Linked DNA regions of Diceros bicornis minor. The protein of the gene in region 4 interacts with the protein of the main gene of each other region in a pairwise test. Links are inferred from orthologs where the notes say so. Each region holds a gene or a part of one and is shown on either strand. Other genes may lie near its edges. The genes, in order: RBM17, DIPK1B, DMRT3 and SAT1.

Region 1 (7,971 bases), on a different chromosome or scaffold from region 4:
TTTCATACAATTTCATTTACATAGCTTTATTGCATCTATTCTTTGAAAGGCGTGTATATATCTTTTAGCCGTTTTAAGCACTTATAAATACACCATAATTGATTCATTCATTCTCCCCACTGCAACCACTGAAATGTAACAAGGGCATTGACAAGACTCTGCCAGGACCTGAACTGAACCTAATTAATGCTGGGATGTCACTTAGATGATCTAACACATTTATTTCACGAAGTCTGGAGCCAGGTAATAAAAAGTAGCACTTTCTAACATTTGGATATACTTTAAGAGGCCAGGATCGAACACAAATACAAACAGCTGGTTTTCATAATTTCTTTAAAATACCTGCTCACTACTTACTTTTTTATGGTAACACTACCCTTTGATCAACACATCTTTCATATATGCTCCATTTTTTTTCTTAAGAAGAAACACAGTAAACATGGTCCTGCCAGAAGAATGATGACTTTCCAAGATTCTACCTAAGCTGGCAGAGTATTTTTTTAAACACATGCAACTGGCAGAAAAAGAACATGGAACAAGTCTTCTCAGAAGCACCCCACCTACTCATCTCTCAAGAGCATCTCTGAAGCCTTTGGTGACTACCACCCCCACATAAAACTATGCCCCATTTGTTTCCCCTGAACACACTCGGATCAGAGCAACCTTCACATGTTATGCTGCCTATGGCTGACACGTCTGTCTCTTACTACATGATAAGCTCCTTAAAGCCAAGGGCTGTTTTTGTCTTATTGTTGTATCTCTAGCTCAGCATCATGCTCGGAACATTGCAAGCACTTGATATTTTCTAAACTTATCAGTGATCGGATGGAAAATGTTAATGCACCTCCTTAAATCACATTATTATAAAACAATAAGATATCCAGATCTGTCTTTTAGGGACATAAGTTATGGTAAGTGGGATTTAATAAGTATGGTAAACATTAAATTGTATACTATAAATAACAGAAGAAAAACTACTACCACCACACAACTAATAATGAGTCGAGGTCTGATTTCTCAGCACCTAAACAGCAGGCTTGGTAAGAGCAGAGCTTTTTACCACTAAAATGATAATTCATGTATCATAAAGCGAAAATGAAGCCTCAAGAATATGGGAAGTATATGCAGACACAAAGGAGCAGGAAGGGAACCATGAGGGTCAATGCACGTTGATGTTCACCAAAAATACAGGTAATAAGAGGCATCTGCCTCATATATAAGATTTATAATGACTTTTGAAGGAATTAAAACATCTTTCCCCCAAAACCCTGACACCCTTGTCACAGTTTAGCATTTCCACCCATTCTCATAGATTCTATGATTACCAAAATACCTTAGGCTGGAGTGTATTGCAGACAAAGTCCACAAGAGTCACCTGTAATCGAGGTGTGTAACAGAACGTCCTTCACTATTGACTACTAGGAAAGACTTGAGAGATTACCAGCCCTGGATCATCTGTTCTCTGAAGGTAATTTAAAACAAACCAGGTAAAAAGAAATCCACTTTATAAAGTTACATTTGGGAACGCACAACAACTCTCCCCAAATTCTTATTTTCCATAAAGGCTATTTTTAGTTATCACAGTACTCCACAATCAGAATAGCTCTGCCCTGATAACACTTCTATTACACCCTGTTATCTTTTTCTCTGTTTCACAATCTACTCTATTCTAAACTGTACAGCATGCAGCACATTTCTTAATAAAATTCTAAAAATAAAACACCCTCGGTTTAAGTTACTAATATATTATCCCATAGTCCCTAAATATCCTTATTATAGTCAAAACGTCTGCTGTCTTTACCCCCTAAAAATGTGGAAACTCAGTTGCATCCTTTAAACACTCCACTTGTTGCCAGGAGGCACAGTCCCCATCTACCTGAGTACATGCAGCATCTTGCCCTTACCCAGAATATCCTATTTTCCATTCCTATGCTGGGTTCTACCAGTAAGTACCTTCAACGGTTCTCCTTTACTGACTTCTCAAAGAACTTTCTTGATCTGACCCGACTACCCCTCCTCACACCTCTCTCTGCCTTACCCGCAGTTTCCAGGATGCACTACAGTGCTTCTCTTCTGCTGCCTTGACACTTATCTCCCCTGCCCTGCAGGGAACCTTTTCCCCATCCTGCACATCTAACAAAACACCTCCAAAACTCAGTTATAAGCATCACCCCCTCTTGGAAGCCTTTCCAGACTCCACTCTAGTCCCTTAGATCAAGGATTTCTATGCTTGTGTCCCTAGAGACTAAACTTCGAGAGCAAGGACAGAATCTTATTTCTCTTGCATCCGCTGTCCATAACATATGATCTGGGCAAGAGGAGATGCTCAAAAAATGCTCGATGACTGGACATGAGAGCTAAACCCCGCTCTAGAAGGACAAGGACCGAAGTAACGCCGGAGTCGTGTCTCCCTGCAGGTAAACCCCGACTCGGAGAGCTGTCAACCTCTGGAGGCCCCGTTCTGCAGCCGGGGAAGGAAGTGGCTTCTTCCCTCCCCACTCCCCGGGCCCCGGAGGGGAGCAGACGTGCTGGGCCACAAGTAATACGGGCCTGGCTACCGTAGGGACCGAGCAACTACTTCACAACGGCACCAACAGAAGGGAGGAGAAAACGTCCTCGGGTCCAAAACGGACGGAAACAGACGGACGGGAAGGGAAAAATAGGAAGGAGAGAGGAAGAGGGAGAGGGAGAGGGCCTGGGGACCCGAGGCAAATAGACAAGAGCGGCGGCGGGGCGCGAAGAGAAACGCGAAGGGTCGGCCGGGGCCTGGCTGAAGGCCGAGGGCGCCAGCGGCCGGCACCTCCCGCCCCCTCGCGGCGCGGCCTAAAGCCTCGGCCTCGCGTCCAGCGCCGCCCGGGGAGGCGCGCGCCCCGGCGCCCCGCCAGGCCGCCCGCCCCGGCGCCACTTACCCGGGCCGCCCGGCCGACTCTCCCCATGGGCCGTGGCGGCACACCGGGGCCGAGGCGCCGCGCAGGGGGCGGGCTGGGCGCCCTCGGAGTGACCCGCGACGCCGGACCCCAGCCGGCGCCAACTCCTACGCCGAGTCCGCGGGGCGCGCGCGGCGCGGGGTCAGGGGGCGCGTGCGGCCGGGAGAGAGGCGCTCCTGTGCCTGCGCCGCGGGCGCCTCGTCGCCGCGCCGCCTGCCGGCCGGAGGACCACACTGCACCTCCACTCCGCCGGCGTCCTGCTCTGCCGCCAAGAGGTGTCGCGGTGGCGCAAGTTTGTGAAATTTCAGACTCGTAGGAGAGCCCGGCAGTGACCCCAGATGGTGAGGACGAGAAATGGTCCAAGGCGGCAAAGATCGTCTTTGGGAGCCAAGTGCGTTCTAATAGGAGAGAGAGGGAGAATCCCTCCTAACCCTTCGTTCTCATTCATTCAAAACCATTGATCTCTATGCACAAAGCTGAAAACAAATCCCCCGAGGCGAGATGAACGGGAAACTGCTGCAAAAGAAATGGCAGCAAGCATTGAATTAAGTGTACGACTAAGAAAACAGTAGACATGGAGTTTAGGGTGATAGAAAAAACGTAAATGTTATAAAGCCTCACAGTTTAAAAATGATATAACAAAAGTTGGGAGGAAAAGAGAAAATAGGATTTCGTGTAAATATGATTTTCACGCCTGTAATTGGGGTTTAAAATATTTCAAGCTGATAAATAGTAGAGATTTAAGTATACATGTTAGTACAAAGGAACATGCTAAGAAACAATATAATCAACTAAAATCTGGTGATTATGAAAAGGGAGGAAAGGGAGAAAAGAAAGAAATATGGTAGGTTGTCAGTAGACAATCTGAAGAAATAGATGATTAGGACATCAAGTAATATTATCATTATTATGGTAACCCAGAACAAAAGTACAAACCTTTCAAATTATCAAAACACAACTATAACAAACTAAACAAAATCACATAGTGAAATATGAAAAAGCTACAAAACAGAAAGCATAACAAAACAATATGACAGAACTAAGACCAAACATCTTACATGAATAAATGTAAATGAGCTAAATTTATCTATTTTAAAAAATAATACAACTTCAGATTGGAACAGAAACTATAACAGAACTCTATGTTGCATACAAGACAATGCACAAAATAGAGGGATTATCACAGTCTGAAAATGCAAGACTGGAAAAGGTATACCAGGAATATACAAGCATAAAGAAATAACAGATCACAAACTTACTATTACACAGGGTTGATTTCAGAGCAAAAAGCATTTAATGAGATTAAGAAGAGCATTTTATAATCACAAGAGTTAAAATTCACAGTGAAGAAAAAAATAGGAATATCTATGCACCAAATAACATAATTTCATTATTCACAGCAAACACTAGAGGAGATATAAAGAGAATGAATAGTCAGAAATAATTGTTGTAGTCCTTGCCAGATTAAGGTCATAAATGATAACTGAGGATTAAGAAGATCTAAAAATATAATTAATATGGTTGATCTAATATATCAAACTCTGTACCCTGAAACAGAGATTACATCTTTTTAAGTATCCTTGGGACATTCACAACAATTGGCCACATTTTAGGCCACAGAGAAAATCTTAATATATTCCAATAAGTGGAACCATATCGATAATATTATCTCATCAGAATTCAATAAAACTAGAAATTAATGATAAAACAGAAAATAAAACATTCCTACCCCTTGGAAATTTTTAAATGCTTAGACAACATTTGAATCAAAAAGGAAAACAAAAACAAATAAATAATACCTAGAAAAGTGTGAAAATGAAAATGACATATCAGAACCCATAGGATTTAGCTAAAATAGTACTAAGAGGAAACTCATGTTTTTTTTTTTATAATTTTATTTATTTATTTTTTTCCCCCAAAGCCCCAGTAGATAGTTGTATGTCATAGTTGCACATCCTTCCAGTTGCTGTATGTGGGACGCGGCCTCAGCATGGCTGGAGAAGCGGTGTGTCGGTGCGCGCTCAGGATCCGAATCTGGGCCGCCAGCAGTGGAGCGCGTGCACTTAACCACTAAGCCATGGGGCCGGCCCCAAAACTCATGGTGTTAAAGGATTATATTAATTAAAAATTTAGAATAAACTAAATAAATTAAGCACCCATGCAAGAAGTTAGAAATAGAACAAAATAAACCTTTGACAAGCAGAAAGATGTAATTAATAAAGATAAAAGCCTAAATTGATGGTATATAAAACAGAAAAATATAGAGTTAAAAAAATAAATCCAAGAGATGATTCTTTGAAAATAAATAGGTGAGCTGTTAATTAAACAAGAAAAAGGGGAGAAAGCACAAATGTACAAAATGTGGAATAAGAAGAATTAATTCCAAATACAGAGGAAAGTAAAATTATCTTAAGAGATGACCTTGCTCAGTTTTATCAAATAAGTTGGAAAATCTGGAAGAGACAGATACTCTTCAGGACAACATAATCTCTCAAAATGGACTTTAGATGAGTTATAAAATTTAAACAGACCAACTATCACAGGAAAAATTGGGAAGAAAAGCCAAGAGCCTTTCCAAAAGAGCACCAGGTCCAGATGTTTCCGCAGGAGAATTTTATCAGACCTTTAGGGCCAGTGAATTCTGATGTGCTGTTCCAGAGCATAGAAAAAGAAGGAAAGCTTCAAATTTCTCCCATGGAGCTAGCACAGTAGTGACACCCAAGTACAGCCCAAAGAAAACTGTAGCCCATTCTCACTTATGATTCTCAGTGCAAAAATCCTAAATAAAATAGTACAGCATCAGGACAGAAATTCTCAGTCCTAGAGTAAGGTCATTCCCCGGGCTTTGGGGATCAGCTCTAGGTGAGAAGGAGAACGTTCTGGCAGTAAGACAACGTGCTCAGGGTTGGAGTGCTGGGTGCAGTTTTGGAGGAATCAGTCCTGGCTTCGGAGGGTTTATTTCTGGGGTTGGCTTGGAGACTTGGGTTTGTGGAGTCAGCTCCATTTTAGAGGTGAGGATTTCCAAAGCAGGGGCATCATTCCGGGAGGGATACCCAGATTGCCAGTTCAAACGTGCTCAGGCTTAGGTTCAGGGTCATATGTAGACCAGATTCTCAAATTTAGGCTTAGCTGAGGAATCCGAAGGCTTCTTAAAGGGCACTGCTGCTACTAGCATCCTGTGGTTGACCACACAGCATATCAGCCCTGGCTGAAGGGAAGGGGGGTGGGAAAAATTGAGACATATTGAAGAATTTGATAGAGGTAACACAACTAGGAAGAGAAAGTCAGGGTGTGAACGCAGGGTGCGTACAACTCTAGGGAGCATGCCCTTCACAGGGCAGCCTGGGGGTAAGAAGACGTGCAGTGACTGGTAAGTTGAAAGACTGAATTCTCAGTGGAAGGAACTTTGTTTTAGACACAGCAGGCGGTGGCTCAACCCAGCAGGAGATCCAGATCCCATTGGAGAGAGACAAGGTAGACCCGTGGCTGTCGCTCCACCCAGTCTGCAGCAGGAGGTGAGTAGACAGATTATAGGACATGGCACTCATCCCCGGGGTCCAGAGACCTGGTGAACAGATGAAATAGACATGAACAAGGTTATTTGCCCACAGGCTGGGTGAATTTTGGAAGAGAACACAAGCTGGACCCATGATGGTCTACGCACTTATCAATGCAGCCCACCAGCCGGCCAGCCATTCTCTCCGTGCTTTCATTCTTCTTCTTTTTTTATTTGCAGGTCTGTTATTTATTCGAATGCAACTGCAGGACCATGCAGGTGCCAGCTGAATAAGTAAGCATTGCCTGGTGTCTTAGTCCGTCCACACATGTCAGAAGGGGCAAGGGAGCTCTCTGGGGGGGGGGGTGGGTCTCTTTTATAAGGGCACTAATCCCATTTATTAGAACTCCACTCTCATGACCTAATTACCTCCTAAAGGCCCCCACCTTCTAATACCATCACTTTGGGGATTACGATTCAACATATGAATTTTGGGTGGACACAAACATTCCATCTATAGCACCTGGTATTTTGCAGAGTATGTTAGATGGAGCAAACCCTGTAGAAATCAATTGATAAAGACTTAGTGCTTGAAGTGAAAACTGAACCTGACCATTAGCAGAGAATGGGAGTGATCTGCAGCTCAGGACTTGGAAGTAAGAAAGCCAATCTTCCCACTCCACATCCTACAAGACAGGCACCAAGCAAAGATCTCCATAACCCAAGAGAGGCAGATTTGTACAAGGAAACGGGCTATTCTCTTAGCTGCTCTGGTTAAGCAACGCTGGCAATTTTTTGAGCGCTAAATGCAGAACCCTGATTGTGTAGGCCTTACTCTTTCCTTATATTACTGGCATGTTACTTACATTACTTCACTTTAATCCTCATGTAGCATGGTGTAGAATTACACCATAAAAATGGAAATTCCCTATGAAAATTGTTTGAGCAAAAAGCCGTGAGAGTGTCTTAGTCAGCTGGGGCTGCTGTAACAAAATATCACAGACTAGGGGCCTTAAACAACAGACACTGATTTTCTCACAGTTCTGGAGGCGGGAAGTCTAAGAGGCAGGCGGATTTGGTTCTTGGTGAGGGCCAGCTTCCTGGCTTGTAGGCAGCCACCATCTTGCTGTGTGCTCACAGGGTGCAGAGAGCTCCGGTCTCTTTCTCTTCATATGAGGACACTAATCCCATCTTGGGGGCCCTGTACTCATGACTTCGTCTAAACCTAATTACCTCCCACAGACCCCCACCTCCTAATATCATCATATTGAGAAGTAGGGCTTCAACACATGAATTTGAGGGAGACACACACTTTTGTAGTCCGTAACAGAGCGAGAAAAGAGCCACACTTCTCGGGGGCTCCGGACGCTTCTGGATGCTTCCTTTTGAGGGGAGTGAGGGAGAAGTAGGATGCGTGGGCTGCTCTCTCTGTCCTGAAGTCTGGTGTGGCCAAGGTGTGGGGGCTGAAGTCCCAGTGGAGACTTCCAGTAGGGAGACAGGGCCAGGAGCGGCATGGAAGTGAGTGAAAAGAAAAGATGTTAGCCTTTT
Region 2 (7,529 bases), on a different chromosome or scaffold from region 4:
GTCCGTCCACAGTCTGTTCCTCTGCCTGGAATGCCATTCCTCCCCCGGCCCCCGACCCCATCCTTTGCGTCTCAGTGCTTCTCCGGGCCTGGCCTGGTCCTGCCGGTGTCCCCACAATGTGCTGGGCTCCCCATTCTCCACACCTCCCAGAACACCCGTCTGAATGGAACTGTGACCCCTGACCTCAGCCCAACGATCAGTGGGATGGGCCATGTCTGGAAGGGCCATCTGCCCGGGGGCCTGAGTTTCTATTTCTCCATTTTCCTGCGACATACTTGTGCCTGAGACTGAGGGACACCAGAACCCTGGCACGTGGCTACTCAGAGAAAGACTACATTTCCCAGCCTTCTTTGCAGCAAGTAAGGTCATATGACTAAGCTCTGGCCAATGGGATGTGAGCAGAAGCAGTATGTATTTCCAGGTCCCGTCTTTAAATGGAAAGGCAAGCTCTTCACTTCCCCTTTGCTCCTCCTCCTTTCTGGAGTGTGGAGGTGATGGCTGGAGCTGGAGCAGCCATTTTGGACTGCAAAACAAAAGCCATGTCTTGAGGATGCCAGCACCAACAAGGCAGAAGGATTTTAAGGCCCTGACACGTGGGGTCTCAGCCCTTGAATGCTTACACTCAGAGCACTACACGAAAGGTAACTACACTTCTCTCCTGACTAAGCCAATTTTATTTTGGGGTCCTTTGATGAAACTTGTTGTATTTTCACTGACTCTTGTGCTGTTTCCAATGATGTAGCTATTTGGTCTGCGTAATGGGTTGGGAAGTGTCCCCAGATTCATATCCCCCTGGAACTTCAGAATGTGGCCTATTTGGAAATAGGGTCTTTGAAGGCCATGTGAAGACACAAAGACAGGGACTCCTCTCACACAGGGAGACAGCCATCATATGACAACAGGGGCAGAGACTGAAGTGGCCACAAGTCAAGGAACATCAGGATTGCTGGCACCACCAGGGGCTGGGAGGAGCCAGGAAGGATTCTCCCCTGGAGCCTTTGGCGAGACGGCGGCCCTGCTGACGCCTTGATTTCTGACTTCTAGTCTCCAGAACTGCAGGAGAATAAATTCCTCTTGTCTTAAGCCACTCAGTCTGCGATATCGTGTTACGCAGCCCTAGGAAACCAATACAGTTCACCACGTGGACAGTTACAGAGTAAAGCCTCCTCTTTGTGGGGCCGTGACCTGCGGAAATGAATTTCAGCTGCTGACCGAACCCTCTGGGCCACGCGCGGGCGCTCGTGGCAGGGCCTGCTCTCCACGGGCCCGACCCAACGCAGCTGCTGGCGCAGCCTGCACCTCCCACTCTACCACCACTGCCACCTGGACCCACCACGGCTCCGGGCTTGGGGACAGCCAACATCACAGACGGGGCACAACCTAAGGGACCTGGTATTCCTGATGCAGAGGCAACTGCCGTCTGCCAGACAGGACTTCTGCCCGAAGCTGGTTCATAGGTCTCACAGTGGGGCAAGGGGACACTGCAGGGGGCGTTGACCCCGGCTCCTGGCTGATGGACCCCACTTCGACCCCTCTCAGGGCTACGGGCTGTGCCTCACCAGCTCACCATGGTGCTGTGTTTTGAGCCAGTCAGCGGACTGCCACAACATCGTGGCCCCTGAAACTCAGCGGTGTCACGTTCTGGCTTCATGCGCAGTCTGACAATGGTGCTTCTTCTACTGCAAAAGCCGCCCAATGGGGGCTGGTGGTCAAGGTGCCAGAGGCCCTTTCACGCTTCCCATGGCCCACAGACCTGGTATTGCCGAGCACTGGAATGGCCTTCTCCAAAGTCTGCTGGAGAAGATTTCTGACTCCGCCTCTGTCCCCGCTGTCTTGCCCACATGCCTTAGGCAGGCAGCTCAGGCCCTGAACGTGAGTGTCCCCAGAGAGGAGCACCTCTGTTTGGCCACCTCCTTGGTAGTGACCAGGATGAAAGGGCGGAGGGGGGGCTATCTAGATTCTTCCTGACTCTCCTGAGCAGGGTGCTACTTCTGTCCCCTAAGGGTGCCCTTTGGACAGCCGGGGTGGTCCAAAAGGGGGCCCAGGAGATGCAAACTTAATTCTGGTCCAGCCACCTGGACTCTCCCATGGGACCGACACGGCCCTAGATCCAAGGATGACAACCACTTGGTTGAGGACATTGGGTGCCCAAGGGTGGGCCATGTGGTCAAAAGTGTGGAGTGTGGTGGGTCTCAGTAAGTTTTACAAAAATGCCCACAGCCCTTTTGCACCTGACCTTATCAGTCGGGGTCCCATCAGGAGACAGAAGCCACATGGCAATTTGAACAGGGAAAGTTTGCTATGAGAATGACTAACAGGAGTGGCGTGAGGAGCAGGGACAGGAGTACCCTTTAGGGCTGACCCCCACCCCCAGGCTGAGGTCTTGTTGGGAGGGTGCAGCTGTGGCTCATGGGACAGCAGAGAAGTCCCTGTGGTGCCGGCAGAATTGCTGGAAGTCTGCCGTCTGGAACGTGCCAGAAAACCTGCCTCCAGGATGCTGGGAAAGCTGCTCACAGGGCAGAGTCTCCCTGGAGGTGAGGAGCTGCAGAACCACCGGGGGGTCATCTTTCCAGCAAACGCGCTGGAACAAGTGAATATCCACGTGAAAAAACCCCAACAAACAAAAACCCCGAAACACAAAACACAAAACTAAAACACTACTTTGACCCATAACCTTGCACCAAAATTTTTATTTCACTGAAATTGAATCATCGACCTAAATGTAAAACCTAATACTATAAAACTTCCAGAAGAAAACACAGAAGAAAATCTTTGTAACCCTGGTAAGGCAAAGATTTCTTTGATGTGACACAAAAGGACTCACACAAACCATAAATAAAAAGAATGATAAACTGGACCTCATCAAAATTAAGAACTTGCATCCTTGGCAAGACACTGATAAGAAAATGAAAAGACAAGCCACAGGTGGGGAGAACATCTTTGCAAATCACATATTTGATAATGCACTGGTATCCAGAAGACATAAAGAAGTCTCAAAACTCAATAACAAGAAAACACAGTAAAAAAAAAAAAAGATGGGCAAAAAAATTGAATAGATACTTTGCCAAAGAAGACACACGGGTGGCAGCTAAGCACAGGACAAAACGTTCAACATCATTAGTCGTGAGGGCAATGCGAATGACAGCCACAGAGAGGCACCACTGCGCACCTCCTAGAATGGCTAGAATTTAAAAACTGACAATACAAAGTGCTGACGAGGATGTGGAGCAACTGGAGGTCCCGCCCCCGCGGTGGGAATGTAGATGGCGCAGCGGTGGAAAGCGTCTCCGCAGGTGCCGGTGAAGTTACACCGTCCCTGGCCACACGTGTCAGCAATCTCTCCTCTCCCCCTCCCGAGTGAACTGAAAACTTACCTTCACACAAAAACCTGAATGCGAAAGATTGTGGCAGCTCTGTTCCTGGTCACCCCAAGCCCGAACCAACCAATGGCTGAGCGCGCTGGGCATCTGTGCCGGGAAAGCCACTCGGCGAGGAAACCCAGGGACCGAGTTTCCATGCGCTCTGCCGCGGGGAAGGGCCAGACCCGAAGGCTATCACCACTTTATCCCATTTCTGTGACCCTGACACGAGCCAGAGCTTGCCAGGGCTGGGGCTGCGGGGAGGGCTCGAGGAGAGGGGGGCCCCGGGTGTGTGCTGTTCCCTGTCCCGAAAGTGGAGGTGCCTGCCCGGCTGTATTGTAAACACTGGCAGAGGCGCACGATAAGAAAGGCGCATTTTACTTGGTTCCGTAAAGAAACGAAAGGAACAGGCAAACGCCGCCACGGCGTCCACCGCCCCTCCAGGCCGGGTGGTTGGCACGGGACCCCCACTCGCGGCCTCGCCCCGACATGTCCCCCTCCCTGGGCTCACTGCCCCTCCCGCCCCTGCCACGCGGGGCCTCTGCAGGCTGCCCGCCTCGGCCGCCGCCTCCCTCCGCGGGGGCGCCCCAATCACTCAAGGGTGCGGGCTGGGGGCGCGTGTGGGCAGAGCCTCGGCGCCCTTCGCCTTCTCACGGGGCGGGGGCGCGCGGGGGGAGAGCGGAGAGGTAGGGGCGGGCCGCGGGCGCCTCCCACCAGCACCGCAGGCCTCCCTCCGCGTCCCCGGCCCCCCACCTCCCTTCCTCCCGCGCGCCCCCGCGGCGCCCCCGCCCCTGTGCGGCCGCGCGCGTCCCTCTCCTCTGCGCGTCCCCGCCTCTCCTCTCCCGCTCCCCATCCTTCCTCTCCTCGTCCCCGGTGCCCGGCCCGCCCCTCCCTCTCCTCCGCGCGGCCCCGCCCCTCCTCTCCCCCTCCCCATCCCTCCTCTCTCCCTTCCCGGTGCCCGGCCCGCCCCTCTCTCTCCTCCGCGCGTCCTCGCCTCCCCTCTCCCTCCCCACCTCCTCTCTCCCTTCCCGGTGCCCGGCCCGCCCCTCCCTCTCCTCCGCGCGCCCCCGCCCCGGCCGGCCGTCAGAGGCGCGCGCCCTCCCGTGGACGCGGGCGGGCGGGGGCGCGCGGAGGGGGAGGAGGAGCGGCGGCCGTTGCGGGCCGGCCCGCGGGGCTGAGGCCGAGCCGAGGCGGGCCCGCGCACCGGCCGGGCGCCCACCATGCGGCGGCTGCGGCGCCTGGCGCACCTGGTGCTCTTCTGCCCCTTCTCCAAGGGCCTGCAGGTAGGCGCGCCCCCGCCCCGGTCCCGGCCCCCTCCCGGCCCCTACACCCCCCCTCCCCGGCCCCTACAACCACCCCCCGCCCTCGGTGCCCGGGCTGCGGCGGGGGCGCGCGGCGTCCAGCCCTGGGGGAACGGCCCGGGTCCGGATCAGGACTCGAGGTTACTGAGCGCTGGGGTGCGCGGGCCCCGGCGCGGCTGGGGGCTGGGAGAGGACTGTGGGGGCCGGGGTGGGGGGTGTTGATGGGGCGAGCAGAGGGTCCCGGCGCCGCGGAGGCTGCGGAGCGGCAGTCCCCGCGCTGGGGCCGAGGAAGGCCTCCATTCCCCGCGGGCAGGACCCTGCTCCCTGAGGCCCAGAAACCACACCGAGTCCATTCCCTTTTCCTCTACTTATGAGATAAGGTTTTTTGTTGTTGTTGTGGAAAACTTGAGACACATACAAAGCCCTAAGAAGGACATAACCTCCCCTGGGTCATCTCCCAGCCAGCCTGAGCTTAGGGGTGTGCCCTGACCCCACTGTGACCTTGGACAAGTCACCGTCCTTGCCAGGAGCCAGTTTCTGCAGGGGAGGCCCGGGCTGCCTTGGGTGCCAGCTGTCAGGAGCCCTGTCACCTCTGCTTTGTGTGGTCCAAGCCAGGCCCACATCCCAGTCTCAAATCCTCCAGGCCCACCCTGTGACCCGGATGCCCTCCAGGATGGCCCTGTCAGAGCTGCCCACACCTCCGTGGCCTCCCCAGGGCTGTCCTGGGGCCAGAGCAGGAGGGTCCCTGCCAGGGCCGTGCCCTTGGCTCAGGGCCTGGCTGGCCTCAGCTCCCCACCCGGGAGAAGGGTGGGAGCCAGGAAACACGCCGGTCGCATGTCTGTGCCAGACGCCCTCCCTGCCTGCCTGGGGCCTTGGGGTGCGTGGTGGTCTTGGTCAGCTCTGGGCAAGGCGGGAGCTGAGGGTCTGAGGGTCCACCCCACAGCAGGAAGCAGAGATGTGCACTGGCTCCTGTCCTGAGGGAGGGGCCTTGACCAGGCTGCTGCCGGGGAGGCCCAGAGCAGCCGGCTCCAGACCCTGGGCACTAGGCCTCTGAGCTCGGCACAGATGGGTGGTAGAAGGGTTCCGGCAGATTCCCAGTGGTCTGAGCCCCGCCTCACCCCCGTCTTAGTGTTGGGACACTCTGAGCCTCAGTTTCCCCACCTGTGAAACACCCTCCTGGGTTGGTGGTGCTTGTAGGGCATTGGCCATGGGTCGTTCACCGTTGTGCTGTTACTGTCCTGACTGACCCTCCCCATCCTCCAAGTGGCGTCTCCAGGAGCCTGGGGGGGGCGGGGCTGGGGGGGCAGCTGCAGGGCCCCCCCCCGCGATGAGTAAGACCCGCCCTGTCCCAGGGGCCCACCCACCAGTGGGACAGGCCCCCCTGGGAGGGGGCAGGGCAGGGAAGGGGATGGGGGTCAAGGACTGGCCCTGGAGGAGGTGCTTGCTGAGGGCGAGCACCTGGGGGTCGGGCGGAACCAGCCAGGTGGGGACGGGGTGCTGGGAGAGGGGCCGCCACGCAAAGGCCCGCAGCCCTGGGGGTCTGGCGGGGGAGCGGGCAGTGTCTGGGGTGGGCCCCGCAGGCACTGTGAAGCCCAGTCCGCCCACGCGTCCAGCACTGGCTATAGCCAGCCCTCCTCCTGCTGTCCCCCAGGACCCCCAGCGCCGGCCTTCAGGGCCCTCTCCGAACTGAAAGCCCACCCAGAGGCCCCGCCCACCGCTGCCCCAGGACGTTGTTCACCACCGGCCAAAGTCCGACCTTGTCCTGCCAGAACACCCCCCTCCCTCCCCCGTCCCTCCACTTTCCTGTTGTTCACTTTGAACACGTCTGACGGAAATAGGCACGGTAGCGGGGACAAGTGGGCCTGAGGCCCAGCCCCTCACTCTGCCCTGGGCCAGTCCCGCTCTTCAGTGGCCACTGAGGCTCCGGGCCTGCCCCCGACTCTCGGGGTCCTCCCGCTGGAGCTCCTCCTGGGAGGCCAGCCTGTGAGTGGGTGCAGGGAAGCGGGAGGGGAGACCCTGGCCCGTCCTCGGTGGGGAGCCGGTGGCCCCATTTCTCAGGGCCAGCCCTCAGCCTCCAGCTAACCAGGACCCAGGACTAACCAGGATTGCAGCTGCTGCCCGGCCCGTGGGTGGAGGGCATGTGCCAACGCTGGCAGTGGCACCTTCTCTGGGGGCAGGCTGGCCTGAAGCCCTGGCCTCCTGCTCTTCGGGCCGCTGGGGCTCAGCCACCTGGTCAGGTGTCCCAGCCCCTGTGTGGGACAGTGCATGGCAACCCCGTCCCCTCGGCTGACCACTCTGTGATTTGCCAGGGCAGGGAGTGGGGAAGGGAGGTAGTGCCCCTGGAATCTGGGCTTGGGGGCTGGATGGGAGACAGCACCCTCCAGGGCGCCAGGACCCTCATATCCTGTGATTCCACTTGTAGCTGGGGAAACCTGGCAGAGGGGCAAGGCCTCTGTAGAAGCAGTTCCCATCCTGGCCCACCCTGAACATCTGATGGGCCACCCTGGACATCTGGGACAGAGCTTCTGGCAGTGGGGCCGGGGCTGCGTCTCTTATTTATTTATTCTTTATTGTGGTAAATCATGCGTAACATAAAATTCACCATCTTAACCACTTTTAAGTGCACAGCTCAGTGGCATTCAGCACATTCACGTTGTTGTGCAGCCGTCACCACCATCCGTCTCCAGGACTCTCTCATCTTCCCAAACTGAAGCTCCGTCCCTGTGAAACACTCACCCCATCCCCTCCCCTAGCCCCGGCACCACCATCCACTTCCTGTCTCTGTGGGTTGACTCCTCTAGGGCCCCCGTATAGGTGGGATCCTACAGAATTTGTCTTTTTGTGACTGGTTTATTTCACTCGGTATGTC
Region 3 (7,858 bases), on a different chromosome or scaffold from region 4:
CTACTATTTGAATAGAGCTTCACTTAGTTCTCTACCTGTAGTGAGCTACTTATCCAGGAGTTTCTGGTATACTTCTAAATATGTATGGTATGTTACATACAAATACATTATAAGAACAACTGCAAAAAAAGGTCTAATACCTACAGCAACAGGTAGTCTCACCCAGGCACTTTTCTCTAACTTAAACCCCAAATGGGCCTTTTTACAAAGCATTGCACAGAAATGATCCACTTGTGTGCTTGCCTTCCTAGTGGAAAACAATTATCTTCTTTTCTTGACCTCCTCATCAGACTGATGATTGGCTGCCTTTTTTTTTTTTTTTAAAGAACGAGATTATGGGGTCAAACCAATTTAAAAAAGAAAACGAAAGTTATAAATGAATGTGCAAGGTATGCAGCATGACCAGGTGGAAACTGAGCCGCTGGCCCCTGATGGCTCAATCTCCCTGAGACATCGCTCTGACCCCTCCCTGTGATAAATCCTAGTCTCCTTTGCAATCACTTGTTTTCAGTTTGGAGGACTCAGGCTATCCCTGAATACTTGGTGCGAGTGAGAGAGAGCACCAGGTCTGGTTTGTCCAGTTGAAATCAGTCTCCCTCTTTTATTTTCCCAAACTATGTATCCTGCTGCTGCTGCAGCTGCTACTGGGTTTTTCTTCCTGCCCTCACAAGTCGCCTCCCAGGGTTGTTGGTTTTGTGGCTCTTTAGAAACCACAAACGTGGCTATCCCAGAGAATGGTTTGAAAAGCATAGGATGGGAGAAGATTCCCCTCTTGGACAAGGACCCCAGAACCCAATGCCCTATTACAGGGGTGCTGCTGGGCAGGTGGCCACTGCAAAATGCTACCACTGACATGAACTCAGACTCCTGCCCCGGTGCTGGGAGAAATGGAGACAGGGAAACTGGAAACAGAAAGGTTGGGAAGTTATTGGCACAGATCAACTTCCAGAACTGAGACACTTTCCCAGTTACTTGTTCTAACCTAAAAGAGAAAAACAAAACACGCTACCCTCCATTCCTCTGTGGCAAATCTACAAATAAGAAGTGATCAGACTGAAGACACAATGGGGGGGGGTATTACTCAGAAAAATGCTTATACCCTACCTTGGATTAAATAGCCACAAAATCCATGCTCAGCAAACTCTCTTCCGTCCTTAAAATACCCAGTTGTGCTCTTCACATAAGATGTTCTCAGAGCTTCAGGCTTAGAGAGCATAACTGAGCAACAGGGCAGCACAACTATGCCTGCCAGGCTGCCTATCAACTCCCTCCCCAACCAATAAGCCTGCACTTCCCCAGCTCCACACAGCAGCTCAATGCTCCTGGAAGCCTCTCTCCAGAAGCTAGAGGTACTGTCCTTTTGGAGGGTGGAGGGGTAGGCAGAAGCTCTACCACAGTTCCACCTACACAGGACTCTGGGCCTTCCAGGCCTTCCCTCTGCGAATTTCAGCATATCCTCTAATCCCCTCCCCAAGAGGACTGCCTCTTTTCCTTTATACATTTGCCCCAGTGAAGGGAAAACACTAAACACATGTCCATTGAATTCCAAGATCCTAAAATCAAAGGAGCACTTGGGCTGGGCAGGACAGCAAGCTAGAGATTCCCCAGGAGGAGAGAGACTCAACTGCTAGCCTGCAGGCTCAGGAGGCCTGGAGGAGGGAAGGAGATGGAAGCAGGGGGTTGGGGGAATCTGTCCACCTCTAGGGCTCAGGGGAAACTCTCTCTAAAGCACAGCAGAGGAGATGAGAGGGGAAGAGAGGAAGAGGACTCAGAGATCCTTTGCTCGAAACTGGCAGCTTAGCAGATCTCCCCGCCTAGAACGGGGAAAGGGCTTGCCAGAGGGGGCCTTCCTCACTGTCGGTTAAGTTTTGTTTTATTTTTTTAAACCACAGAAACAGATGAGGGTAGCCTGAGGAACAGTGTTAAAAGACCTGAGCGGTTCTGCAAAAGGAGTTGACTCTGGGCGCGCCAGATTCTGGGTCCTCGCTATCCGTTCAGGCGCCTTTCTGGCCCTTTATTTACTATTGCTTCTCAATGGGGCTTCTTTCAGCTATTGCAAGAGAGTGGAAACCACAGAGCGCTACTAGAAAGGCTTCAGGTTCGCTCTAGTTCCCCCGGGCCGAGAAGCACGCCCAACTCAAAGTCAGACAAGCCTTGGGCCTTGCCTCCTTCCCTGCACCTACCCGTCCCTACCTCCAAATGCAAGGCCCTCTAAGGACCGCAGTCAGAAAAGCCCAGCCGCGCGGTGGTATGTGTGCCCGCTTGGATTTTAACCGGGTCCGGTCTCGATCTCTTTACCGCTGAAACGGACACGTTCACCTTTAACCTGGGCAAGGCACTTGGCGATCCCGACGCAGAATCCAGCCATTTGGCTCGCCCGCGGGCGCCTGGATGCTACCCGCGCGGTAGGCAGACTGAAGGCCGGCTTCTGCCCAGATAGTAAGAACTGGCTTGGCGGGGATTGTGGGGGAAGGCCCGCCCAGGCCTCCCAGGCAGAGCCTCAGCAGGAGCTCGGAAGTTTTTGCCCACGCGCCTGGCCGGGCTCCCGCCCCGCAGACGCTCTTACCTGGCTTGGCGAGCTGTGCCTGCAGCGCCCCGGGCGCGGGCTCGGCAGCCCAGCGCAGCGCGGCGGCCGCAGCCAACTCGGCAGCTGGACGAGGCGGCGGCTGAGACGGCTGCGAGTTCGGCGGCGGCTGCGGGGCGGCGGCGGCGTCCCCCGGCGGCGGGGGTCCGGGCAGAGCGCGCAGCGAGTCGGGAATGAGGCTCTCGAGGCTCTCGTTAGCCTGCTGCCGGCGCAGCGCCACCTGCGCCGCCATGACCCGCTGCCGCTCGATGATGAGGATGCACTTCTCGCAGGTGCAGTCCTTGAAGCGGCAGTAGCGCTTGTGGCCCTTGAGCCAGGACAGCACCCCGTGGTTGCGGCAGCGCGCGCACTTGGGCGTGCGCTGCAAGGGCGCCCGCGGCGGCTGCGACACCGGGCCGCCCATGTACAGGTAGGGGGAGCCGTAGCCGTTCATGCCCCGAGCTCCCGGAAGAGCTTGCGGGCTGGCGGCGGGAGCAGGCCAGGGGGCGCTGGATGGCGGGGTCCTTGGTCCCGCAGCCCCGGCGGCCGCGTGCGCTCCGGGATGGCCGGAGGTGCGGCAGCCGTCTTTACGGCTCCCGCGGCGCTCGCAGCCTCAGTGTCCCGCTGGTACTCCGCCAATCCCACGCCGGTCGCGTCTCCGCCAGCCGCTGCTTTGGCCCGCACGTCCTCCCTCGCCGCGGCGCTGCGGCGGCTGCAAAGAGCCGGCGACAGTTCGGGTTAAGGTCTGAGCCAGCTCTTCCGCAACTCCCGCGCGCGCAGGCCGGGCCCAGCACCTCCTCCACCGCCCTCCCCCAACTCCTCCGCCCTCCCACCGCCACCCCCACCCCCGGGGTCCTGGTCTCCTTGCACTCCCCACCCTACTCCACGCCTTCCTCCTTCCTCGCGCCCCTCGAGTCCCTGCACTTCACCTTCCTTGCCACCTGCAGCCAGGCCACTCTCGCGGGGGCGCTCACGGCCCCCTCCTCCTAGCGCTCTGCGTTTCCCCTGCCCGCGACGGGAGGGACTGCAGCGCGCCGGGATGCGGCGGTGCGCACGGGGCGGGGAAGGGGAGGACTGGCGGGGGTGAGGGTGGGGTGCCTGTAGGCGAGTGAGGCGGCCGCTCCCCTACCCTCTCTTTTTCTCCCTGCAGGCCTAATTTGGCGGCACCGAGCCCGAGGCCGCTTTTATCCCAACGTTTGGCCGAAGAAACTCGGCTCGCGAGAGCCAGGGCCTACTGGAGCGTTGCGGGTGCTCTCGGGACCCGGCATGAGCCGAGAAGGTCTTAATTTGGGGCGAGCCTGGCCCCACGCACGGCCACTGGTTGTAGGGCACTGGTTCGGGAAATTTCGGCTCGCTCTTGATTTCCTTTTGCAACACATATTTTATCTTGTTGCTGTAGAAGAAAGTGTTGAAAACCTGCTGGCCCAAGGATGACAACCCATTTTGCAGGCTATTTCAAAGGGAAAAACAGCCCTCCTTCTCTGGCGCGGAGTTTCTCTACCCTCCTCCCCACGTTTTGATAAAAACAAGTCTCTGTCCTGAAATCCTCTGTCTGCTCGTGTGGAGGATTTGCTTAAGTGCTGCGTCTAAACTTTCAGCGTGGACGAAGGAGCCACGTTAGCGTCCCCAAAGTTACCGGATATGATCTCCCCTCGCCCCAGTAGCCGCTGAACCATCAAACGGAGGCCTCTCGTCACCCAATTCAAATCCCCACGGACTCAGTGATTTAGTTATGGATAAAGGATGGGGCCACTTCCTCCCCCACTCCTCCCAGCGTCTTTGGATAGCATAAAACTTTGTTTAAACTGTTATTTGCGTGTTTTTAATCTCCTACGAGTACCGGTTTGGCCTAATGCAGACTGCCGCTACACATGCACAGGGACCCCCAAATCAAAAAACGAAAACTAAAAACAGGTGGATACAGCGGCGCAGGGTAGCACAATGCCTCAGTGCGAAGCCGTGGAGATGGCAATCCCGGAGCCGTCGGTCCGCAGGCTTCTGAGAGCAGAAACTGAGCTCATCTCTTGGCGGTCTGAGCGAATCGAATGCGAGATGAGAGCATAGATGAGTCCACTGCAGTGGCCAACCGTTAGGCTGCACCTCGCCCCTTGTACCCTCGCAGAGGCCACTTTTCTCTGCACTGCCTGGAAACAAGCAATCCGAAAATGTCTCTGTGCTGTGAATTCGAGTAAAAGCACAGCCAGGCGTTCTTCTAGCCAACCCTCCGCCTGGAAGAGGGATTCTGAGAGGGGAAGAGGTTTAAAAAGGGAACACGGTTGTGTGTGTTTCCTTTGAAGCCCTTAGCCGTCCCCAGTTTCAGACCTGTCCGGGAGTTGGGGATCGCTGGAGGCTGACCTGGTGGGGCCTTTGCAGGAAACTCTTGCACGAGAGCGATAACCCTGGGAGGCCTCCTCTCGAAGCTGCGTCGGGCAGGGACCCCTGGGGTCTTGCCCCTTAAACCCCCCACCCCACCACCGCTTCAATATCTCCTCTCTTCCTAAGTTTCGCTAGGAAGAAAAGCCCTAAAACACTACAACGAGAAGGAACTTGATAACCTCTCGGGACTGGAGGCAGAGGTCACCCGCAGCCCGGTGAGCCAGAGGCCAAGAAGTGGGGCAGCAAGTCGCTTCACGTGATGAGACGTACAGGGCCTAGAATGACACTGAATCTGAGAACTTCCCCACTGAAATCTCCGGGTCGCTTGGGAACGTGAGGAACATGGACTTTTTTCAAAGCCAAATTTCTCCCGATTTTCTCCAAATGGTCAAGGAAACCCGGGAGTATAAGGAACTTGGGAGTAAAGAATTTTAAAGGAAAGCAGAGGTTTGGGGGGTATTCCCACTTCCAAGACAACCCCTTTCCCCTCTCGGTCACCTAGCCACCCTATCCCTTTGCCACTCAAACAGTCTGGCATTATTTGGTCCCAGGGCCCTGTTTCACTTCAGTGCACATCGGGGGCTGAGATCTAAATACTCGTTTGATATAGCGCAATAATCCTTTTCTCATATTTGATGGGAATGTTTTCCATATCCCAGTATTTGACAACATCTCCCTATAGGGACAGGTTTGTATTTATGTTGGTAAAATGTCCCCTGCCTCAAAGTCTATTGTAACCCAACACCTGACAACCCGGAGTCCCATTTCTGTTTGCAGAAAGGGTTTATTCAAGCACATAATGGGATCCCAGCAGAAAGCCTTTCAGAACAAGGGGCTATGGTAAACTTCACCACATGAACTCCGTTTCCAGGGCTATTAAGCTTTTAATTGGAAAATAGCAGAGGAAATTTCAAGGTGACTATAACGTGTTAGCAGTTAGTGCGGAGAAGAAAAGCCGGAGCGGGAATGAATGTAGAAAGCATATGGTCCGAATCACATTTAGGAGGAGCGGCCCACTTCTGCTAAGTCCCGGCGGCTTACACACTTATGGGAAAAATCATCCAAGACATTGGAAAGGGAGGGGGGAGGATTACAAGTCAATGTAACCTCACTAGACTGGATCCACTCGCGTTCTGCTCTGGGTGGGGAGTGTGTGTGTGTGTGTATGTGTGTGTGTGTTTTCAAACCACAATTAACCGGGTAGAATTGTGACAGGTATTAACAGCGAAAGGGTGAAAGATAATGTGCGTATGTGGTTCTCTCGCTCGGCGCACACACAATCTCACGGTGCGTGTACATCTAAAAGCTGAGAATGCAGGTGCCCTCGCTGAGAAACGGAGGATGTTCTGCCTCCACATCTGGCAGTCCTGGTAGCTGCTCCTCACCGCAAGCAACGCTTAATCAAAACGACAGTTTCATCTTGTCCCGGATGTATACTGTATCAGGAAATTTTCTGCGTTGCTGCATTCTCATGGAGCTGAAGGTCAGGGTTCCTATTTTGCCGTTTTAATCGAGACTACGGTGACGCTGGAGGCCGGGGCGTGCAGAAAACACTTTAAATGCAGGAAAACGAGACCCCTCTCCTCGCGCAGGGACTTCTCAGCTGTCACCCTGTCCGTGCCTCTCGGCAGCGCTCTTCGACCAGCTTCAGATGGAAAGGGGGGAACAAATATCTTTGAGGCGGTGGGGCAACCAGCAATCGCTTTTTTGAGGTGACAGCAATGCCCTTGTTCTCCCTCAATTAACTGGGGAGAAATTCGTGTGCACCCCCCAAGGCATCCCTGAAGAGGCCCTCTGGGGCGCGGAGCGGAGGGCAGAGACCACGTGCGGCCGGGGTGACTGAAGCTGCATCAGGCGGGCCCGGGGGACGCCGCTGAGCAGAAGGAAGGTCCTAGACGGCCATGTCCCCCACACCATGTTGGCAGTGGGCAGCCTGAGGATCCTCAGAGGCCAAGGCCTTTTGGAGCAAAGGGGAGGGCAGAACGGCCTGCAACCCCGCCGGCCTCGTGCAGACCAGGCAGGTGCTGCTCCGTCTTGCACGTTCTTGAACTCTTGAAGCCAGCAGGGGCTTCATGCCCGGGAGCCAGCGCTCCCATCGGTGCAGATTCCAGCCCAGACACAAGGCCGCGCCGCCCTCACATTTTGGGGTGGGGGTGTTGCTCCTGCATTACTTCATCCGAGGGGCCCACTGAGCGGCGACCCCAGCCCTGCACTTTCGAAGGGAAGGACTAGAGAAGCGCGCCCTCGCAGCGGTCCCCACTGGGCTGGGGCCCAGGCTCGCCCCTGGAGGCCCCGGGCGCAGCCGGTAACTCCCGCTCCGGCATCGGCCTGTCCGCTGCCCTACGAAGTCCCCGAGAGTTCTGGGCTGCGGCCCTGCACGCACGAGCGCGCGGGCGGGGCTCCGGGGCCGAGCGGACACCCCGCGCTGGGCAGCAGGAGGGCGTGGGGTCGGCTGAGGCTGTCGGTCACGTCCCCACACCATTTTGAAAGAAGGTCTCAATGGGCGGCCTGCAGGCTCTGTCTTCTGTGCAAATGAAAAAGGAAAAAATATGTACCCTCCAAGGTAAAATGAGAACAGCCCTGACTTGAAATCAGTTTTAAGATAACCTTTCCCCTGCGACTTTAAAAATTTAAACAAAACATAAAATAGCCAAGGAAATATTTTTAGGGTATTAGAGCAACATTCAAGGGACAAGACAGTTTCTTTTCCCCAGTGTTCGCTCTCGGGGCGCTGGTGCAGTTCCATTCCAGGACGAGCCCCTTCTGCCTTCCCGTCCCTGCTGTACCGGAGCATCCCGGCTGCGGGGAAACGGGCGGATGTGCGGGCTTCCAGAAAAGAAGTCCCTGCTCGGTTCAAGGGGCCCGGGAATAATGAGGGGAAACGGTGGGCGCCGCCCGCACCCCAGGGAAATTGGGTGC
Region 4 (6,834 bases):
TTAAATCAAAGGGTAGTTTATTAAAAAAGAATCAAAACAGAAACTCTAAATACCAGTGTGTACATTGTACACATTTAAATGACTCACAAGAATGAAGTTTTTTTCATATACATTAAGATCACACCACCTAGTTGTTTATCAAAAAGATGTTCAAGGAGAAATCTGACTCCGAACTGCATACAAGATTGCCATCTCAGACTGACCACATTTCAAACATGCAACAACGCCACTGGTAATAAAGCTTTGGAATGGGTGCTCATTCTATTATTTCACTACAAACAGGATAGAAAGCAAGATAAGTTGAGAATTTATTCTAAAATAGAATGGAAGCTGTCATCGTCTACACCAGCACTCCTCACTCCTCTGCTGCCATTTTTAGCAAGTACTCCTTGTCGATCTTGAAGAGTCTCCATCCCTCTTCGCTGGACAGGTCAGAAGCACCTCTTCTTTTGTAGAAGTTGATAGATGGTTCATTCCATTCTGCTACCAAGAAGTGCATGCTGCTGCAGCGACATTTCATCGCAACCTATTATATGGGAGAGTAAAACAAACTCAGTGACATTTCCAAGACCCAATTTTGATTCAGTCATTAAAATAATCCAATAACTCTTACAAATTCAGAAACCAAAAATCAAAATGTACCTGGCTTAGGTTCTTCAGAATTTCTGATCCTATGCCAAAGCCTAAAAGAAAGAGAAGTACCATTTAAAAAATCATCTTAAAGACTTCAAGACCTGATTCTCTTTAGAGCTTCCCCCTGAACTCAACCATACCTCTATAATCACTCATCACGAAGAAGTCCTCAAGATACAATAGTTTGCCAATCCATGGGTCATAGGTAAAATAGTACATGGCGAAACCAACAATGCTGTGTCCTGTAATAAGAGTATCACATGAGATGTGAATGAAAAGTAATCCATAAAAGTTGTAGCTGCAAAATCAGAGGCCTATCATAGGTTTTAAAAAATACACATGCATGTATTATAAAAATAAGTAGCCACTGAACCAGACTGTCTCTTGACTTTTATGCTAGTGCAGTCCAGGCCACTGCTGGATGATCTCACTGTTCTCAAAACATGTATTTGCAAAAAGCACACATTAGAGCTAGCTGAAGCCAGGCTTAAATTGTGGACTGGCCACTCTGCAATCTGCTGGATCTCATACTCAGGAAGCGAGAATGCTTTCATTATTTGCCAGAGCGAAACTGCTATGGTCTTAAACTAAACACACACATTATTCACATCCTATTGATATACTGGTATGTTGACTTGGGAATAAGTCAGGTTTACACGGCAGTTCAGAATAGTAAATATTTGTAGTTTAGAAACTCTGCTTCCTTAAGGTCAGGACATCAGGCCAAAAAACGCAACGTTTAATTTCAGAACTTGCCTTCCAATTCACACATTTTCAATTTGCTCTCCCCAGTTTTTAAGCCAGAAGAAGCAGAGATACCCAGAAACAGGTATTATGTAACATCCACATCCCTCTAAAAAGCACCTCACCCCTTACGTTTTCTGCTCATTTCTTCTAGCTTGGGGAACAGATGTCAGAAAAAAACTTAAGCACCCACCCCAACAACTTCCCCTTTTAGCGCTATCTTCTGACCAGTCAACAGGGACCAGCAAAACAAAACAAAATGTGACATCCTCTTATGGGTGTCTGTAATTCCAACTGGAGGCAAAGGTTTCAAATTAAACTTTCTAGCCATTTTATAGTCCTTTGCAAACACAGACAGGAAGCGAGTACAATGGAGTTTCTGATCTACCGTGTTTTAAGTGTGTGATAATAGGACCTTACCTCATTTATCATGATCATCTACTTTATTGTGTAAAGGATCTTTTAGTTACCTCCCCGCCCATCCATGTACACGGAAGGGCCATGTACATGGCGAAGCTAGAGACTGTAACCTGAAGATTGGGACAAATTAAAGAAAAAAATGTGATTTAACAATTACAAAAAAGGTTACGTTAGGGTCAAACAAGAACCATTTATGAAACTGAACTACAACAAATGACATTATACCTAACTCTTCCGGGTCTCCACAGCACTCTGATACTTACTTAAACAGCTCTTTTAACCCGCCCTATTATTAAGTGCCGCACATCTATTTTTTTTCCTCAGTAGTCTGAACACTGGTTGGCTATTATTTCTGGCCAACTTCTTAGTAACTTCGGCCTGTGTTGTAAGTGGTTCTCTACACAGCAGACACTACGATTTACACAACACTTGGTTTCTTTGGCTTCTGAAACGGGAGGACGGTTACCTTCCGGAGTCCCGTGCTCCTTGGGCACTTCTGCAACCAGGCAGTGGTAGAAGGGGTGCTCTCCAAAACCATCCTCTAGCAGATCTGCAAGGGGCAGCAGGGACAGACAGTGTTGGCCTCGGTAAAGGTGACAGGTACTGGACGCTCGTCCCTCGCCCCCCACTGATACATTACCTTTTTCAGTTAATATTACTTGCTCTTCCATGTATTCATATTTAGCCAGTTCCTGGGGCGATGCACACAGGAGACAGGGAGAGAAGCAGAAAACTAAGTGAGGCCCCGGCCCGGATAACTCAGAGGGAAGGAGGGGGCGGGGCGGGGTGGCGATTCATTCCCTGAGTCTGGCCGGAGCTGAGCGGCGCGGCCCTGCCCAGCCCGGCTGGGGCTGGGGAGGCGGGGGAGAAAGGGGAACCTGCGCAAGACGCGGACTTTCCCGGAAATGGAGCCGCCGCCCACCTCCCACCCCGCCCCGGGAGGAGCCCGGGCCTCGGCTACCTTGATCAGCCGCAGGATGTCACTGCAGTCGGCGGCGGTGGCCGGGCGGATCACGAATTTAGCCATTTTCGTCTTTTGCTTTTCTTCCCTTTGCGGACCAAGCCCCTGTACTTGAACAGCAGGAGGAGGTGGTTCCTCATTCGTCTCCCGGGAGCGTCCTCTTCTCAGTCAGGCTGGCACCATGACCCGGCGAACCTCGGTGAGCGACGAAAAACCTCCAGCTGACTGCCACCAGAGCTGCGCGTTCGAGCCGCCGCTCGGCTCTGCTTTTTAGCGCGGAGAAGCCCCGCCCCCGGCCGTGAGGCGGACGGTCCTCGTCCAATGAGGCCGCGCCCGCCTCCCCCCATTCCTGGCGCCGCCCTCTCCTCCGGGCGTCCGTGTGAACCCGGCCAGCGGGTGGGGTGGGCGGGGTGCGCGGCGGGGTTCTCTAGCGGCGCCCTCTAGTGGCGCCTCGTGGAGCCTTCCCGGAAGCCCGACCTCGGAGCCTACGTGTCCTCCAGTAACCTTTGCGAAAGGGAGAGAGCAATTCCCCTGGTGGCCCCCGACCAGTGACCTTGCTGTTTCTTCCTTGACCCGTCAGGAAAGGAAACTCAGACCTGGCCTTGGGTGATGAAGGGAATAGAGAGGCGATTCTCAAATTGTGATCCGGGGGCCCTGTGGGTCCCAAGATCATTTCAGGGAGTCTGTGTCAAAAGTACTTCCATAATAATAGTAAGATGTCCTTTGCCTTTTTCACTCTCGCTGGAATTTTCCAGAGGCGACCTGTTGTGTCATGAAGTCATTGCTCTGATGTCTAAAGGAATGCGTGCTTGTGTACTCTTGTGTTTTACAGAATTTCCTAAGGTAAGTTATTTGGATTCCTCAATAAGTTTTCCGCCTGTAGAGTAGTCCCACCTTATCCGCAAGGGATACAGTCCAGGACCCACAGTGGATGCCTAGAACTGGGTATAGTACTGAACCCTGTATATACTATGTTTTTTCCTATACATACATAACTATGATAAAGTTTAATTTATAAATTAGACACAGTAAGAAATTAACAACAATTTCTCTTGGGCATATCCGAAGTGCCAGCATCACTGCTCTCTCTTGAGCTTTGGGGCCATTATTAAGTAAAATAAGGGTGAGTTGAACACGAGCACTGTGATACCGGGATAGTCATGTGATAACTGAGATGGCTGCTAAGTAACTAAGGGGTGGGTACCGGTAGCATAAATAGCGTGGATACACTGGACAAAGGGATAATTCACATCCTGGGCGGGACAGAGTGGGAAGGCTCAAGATTTCGTCACGCTACCCGCAACAGCGCACAATTTAAAACTTATGAATTGTTTATTTCTGGAATTTTCCATTTAATATTTTCAGACTGCTGTTGACCGTAACTGAAACTGCAGAAAGTGAAACCGCAGATAAGGGGGGACTCCTGTACTTATAATTTTTAGAATTAACACAAGGTTTTATTTCTTACTTTTGTCCCTTCTTATTCTTTCTTAAATCTCTGACCTTCCTTGTGGAAACACTTTCCTTCTGCCTGAGTTACACTCTCCATAATTTCCTTTAGTGAAGGTCTGCTTTTGTAAAATTTTCTGTTTTGCTTGTCTAAATATATCTTTAATTCATCTTAAAATTCTTGAAGGATTTATTTTACTGCTGACAGAATTTGAGATTGGAAGTTATTTTCTTTCAGCATATTGATGATATCTGACTATCTTCTGGCTTCCGTTGCTGCTGTTGTAATCCCTACTTGCTCCATCCTCTGTGCTTCTTTTTATTCCCTTTTTTTTAACTTTCTGTTTTGAAATAATTATAAATTTACGGGATGTGTGATGACATCATTGCTTTAGTGACTAAAGGAATGTGTGCTTATGTATTCTAATGTTTTCTGGAATTTTTGAAGGTATGCATTTTGGATTCTTCAATAGTTTTTAAATGTCCTGGGAGCAAAATGTTTGAGAAGAGTTGGATTAGGTAAAGCTATTCCTGGATTGTACCCACTGGAACAAGTATTCAAGCCTCTGACAGATATAGTTTTCTTTTACAACCCACCTTTCCAGACAGACCTTCCTTAGGGTCCTGCCTGGTTTCCGGAGTGAGTCAAAGAGAAAGCATAAAAGGGGCCTGCAGCGTTCTCTTTCTGTGGAATGAGAGATTGGACTATCACCAAATGACCACTCCCACCCCCCTCCCCCAACATTCAACAAGTGATTCTCTGCCTTTGTTAGCAATATCCTGTATGTAAAAAAGAAAGCAAAAGTGGGTTCTCTCTTACCCTTCCCACCCTCTGGGGCTGTCATGCATAGTGAGTCACCGTCCGGTGGGAGTTTAAGCAGTGTCTTTCTCAAAGATCTTTAAAAATAGCATTGATTCTCATCTACCTAATCCAGGTAGTGTCTTTCCTGACACCATGACACACTGATGACCATTCATAGGCCCTTCCCTCCTCTGCTTTGGTCTTACTTGTGGGAGGCGGAAGGAGAGCTTGTTACAAATTTACTGATAACAGTAAATTAGACCTCTGTGACTAATGATAGCTGCCTCATTGAAGCAAAAACAAGACCATTTTCAATTTGGGTTGCTTAGTTTTTTAGAATAATGATTGTTTCATTAAAATGCATTATAATTTTTTTTCTGTTTATCCTGTTTTTCCAGTTTAAGTTTCATGCTCTTATGTTCAACTTTGCCATTATGACAAGGAAGAGCCTATTCTGAAAAACATATGGCTGACGAAAGCTCATTGTGATTGTGTTTGTGCACATGTAGAAGCTTAGAACCCTCAGAAAGTTGAGTTTTCTTCATGGCAGTGAATCAAGTTAGGCTTTTCCATTGTCATGAATAGATAGATGCAATGGATAAGCAACATTACCCCCTCTTGATACTGGAATTTAGATTTAAAACTGCATAAAAAGGGATTAACTGCCTTGCATTTGGAAAACTTTTATTTGGTTAATGAGTCAACAAATCAACAAATATTTATTGAGTCTTGTGCTGGGTACTTGGGGGTTATAAAGGAGGACTAAGTTTTGAAACCAGCCCTCAGGGCATACAGTTTACTTTTAGAGAGTGTGTGTAGTTTACTAAACAGAATTTAATCTTTGTGAGAAAGAGAATTCCTATAACTGAGGAGGTCTGAGTAGGGGGAGAGGAGGAAGGGAAATCGCCAAGGCATGTCTCTGCCAAGGCACGTGGTGGGTGTGGGTGCTTTATATTCATTGTCGCATTTGATCCTTACAACTGTCTTGTGAAATAGGTAATGTTAGCTCCGTCTTTATGACTGAGAAAACCAGAGGCTCAGAGGGGTTACAAAATTGCCAAAGCCGGGAAGTGGTAGAGCTGGGGGAGAAGGAATTCGGCTGATTTCGGTGCCAAAGTGAAGCTGTCCAACCTGCCCTATTAAACTATTATGAAAGATGTCAAATTTTTTTTATGTTTATGAAAGTAATGCTTACTGATTAAGAAAATTGGAGAAGTGCGGGAATATAAAAAGATAAAAATAATCCCTGTTAACAGGTTGGTTTCCTTCCAGTCTTTTTTTTATGTACATATACATGCAGGGCTGATATTCAGTTGGTATATACAGTGTAGTGGATTAAAAATGGCACAGATTCATTGCAGCTCCTCCCATCAAGAGGTAGAGTCTATTTCCCCACTCCTTGAATCTGGACTGGCTTCGTGACTTGCCTTGACCAACAGAATGCAGTAGAAGTGATGGTATACAACTTCTAAGCAAGACGTCAAGAGATTGTAAAGCTTCTGCTCATGCCCTCTTGGAACACTGCTGCTGCCATGTGAAGATACTTGAGCTAGTCTCCTTGAGGATGAAAAACCTCATGAAGAGAAAGGTCCAGCTGACAGCCAGCACCAAAAGCCACGTGCGTAAGTGAGGTCATCTTGGACCATCCAATCCTAGTTGAGCTGTCAGATGATTGCAGACACACAAGTGACTCTAGGAAAGACTAACAGAAGAACCACCTTGTTGATCCCAGCGCATGTTATCAATCCACAGAATCATGAGCCAATAAAATGGTTGTTTTAAGTTGCTCAATTTTGGGGTGGTTTGTTACACAGCAAAGGTTAAC

The links.
Region 1: the proteins of SAT1 (region 4) and RBM17 interact in binary tests that used the Homo sapiens proteins (3 or more experiments, as listed by UniProt). The two-hybrid records come from large-scale screens. The link is inferred for Diceros bicornis minor from reciprocal best matches to the Homo sapiens genes SAT1 and RBM17.
Region 2: the proteins of SAT1 (region 4) and DIPK1B interact in binary tests that used the Homo sapiens proteins (3 or more experiments, as listed by UniProt). The two-hybrid records come from large-scale screens. The link is inferred for Diceros bicornis minor from reciprocal best matches to the Homo sapiens genes SAT1 and DIPK1B.
Region 3: the proteins of SAT1 (region 4) and DMRT3 interact in binary tests that used the Homo sapiens proteins (3 or more experiments, as listed by UniProt). The two-hybrid records come from large-scale screens. The link is inferred for Diceros bicornis minor from reciprocal best matches to the Homo sapiens genes SAT1 and DMRT3.

Annotation. Positions count from the first base shown.
Region 1 is NC_080775.1:7,288,882-7,296,852, reverse strand, and holds the start of RBM17 (splicing factor 45), read right to left. Parts: upstream 3,001-7,971; 5' UTR 2,910-3,000; intron 1-2,909. UniProt on the Homo sapiens protein: Splice factor that binds to the single-stranded 3'AG at the exon/intron border and promotes its utilization in the second catalytic step. Involved in the regulation of alternative splicing and the utilization of cryptic splice sites.
Region 2 is NC_080767.1:42,132,172-42,139,700, reverse strand, and holds the start of DIPK1B (divergent protein kinase domain 1B), read left to right. Parts: upstream 1-4,515; 5' UTR 4,516-4,579; coding exon 4,580-4,642; intron 4,643-7,529.
Region 3 is NC_080761.1:25,498,288-25,506,145, reverse strand, and holds the start of DMRT3 (doublesex- and mab-3-related transcription factor 3), read right to left. Parts: upstream 3,018-7,858; coding exon 2,567-3,017; intron 1-2,566. UniProt on the Homo sapiens protein: Probable transcription factor that plays a role in configuring the spinal circuits controlling stride in vertebrates.
Region 4 is NC_080781.1:19,986,476-19,993,309, reverse strand, and holds SAT1 (diamine acetyltransferase 1), read right to left. Parts: upstream 3,013-6,834; 5' UTR 2,825-3,012; coding exon 2,759-2,824; intron 2,490-2,758; coding exon 2,438-2,489; intron 2,348-2,437; coding exon 2,264-2,347; intron 876-2,263; coding exon 774-875; intron 684-773; coding exon 643-683; intron 527-642; coding exon 356-526; 3' UTR 1-355. UniProt on the Homo sapiens protein: Enzyme which catalyzes the acetylation of polyamines. Substrate specificity: norspermidine = spermidine >> spermine > N(1)-acetylspermine. This highly regulated enzyme allows a fine attenuation of the intracellular concentration of polyamines.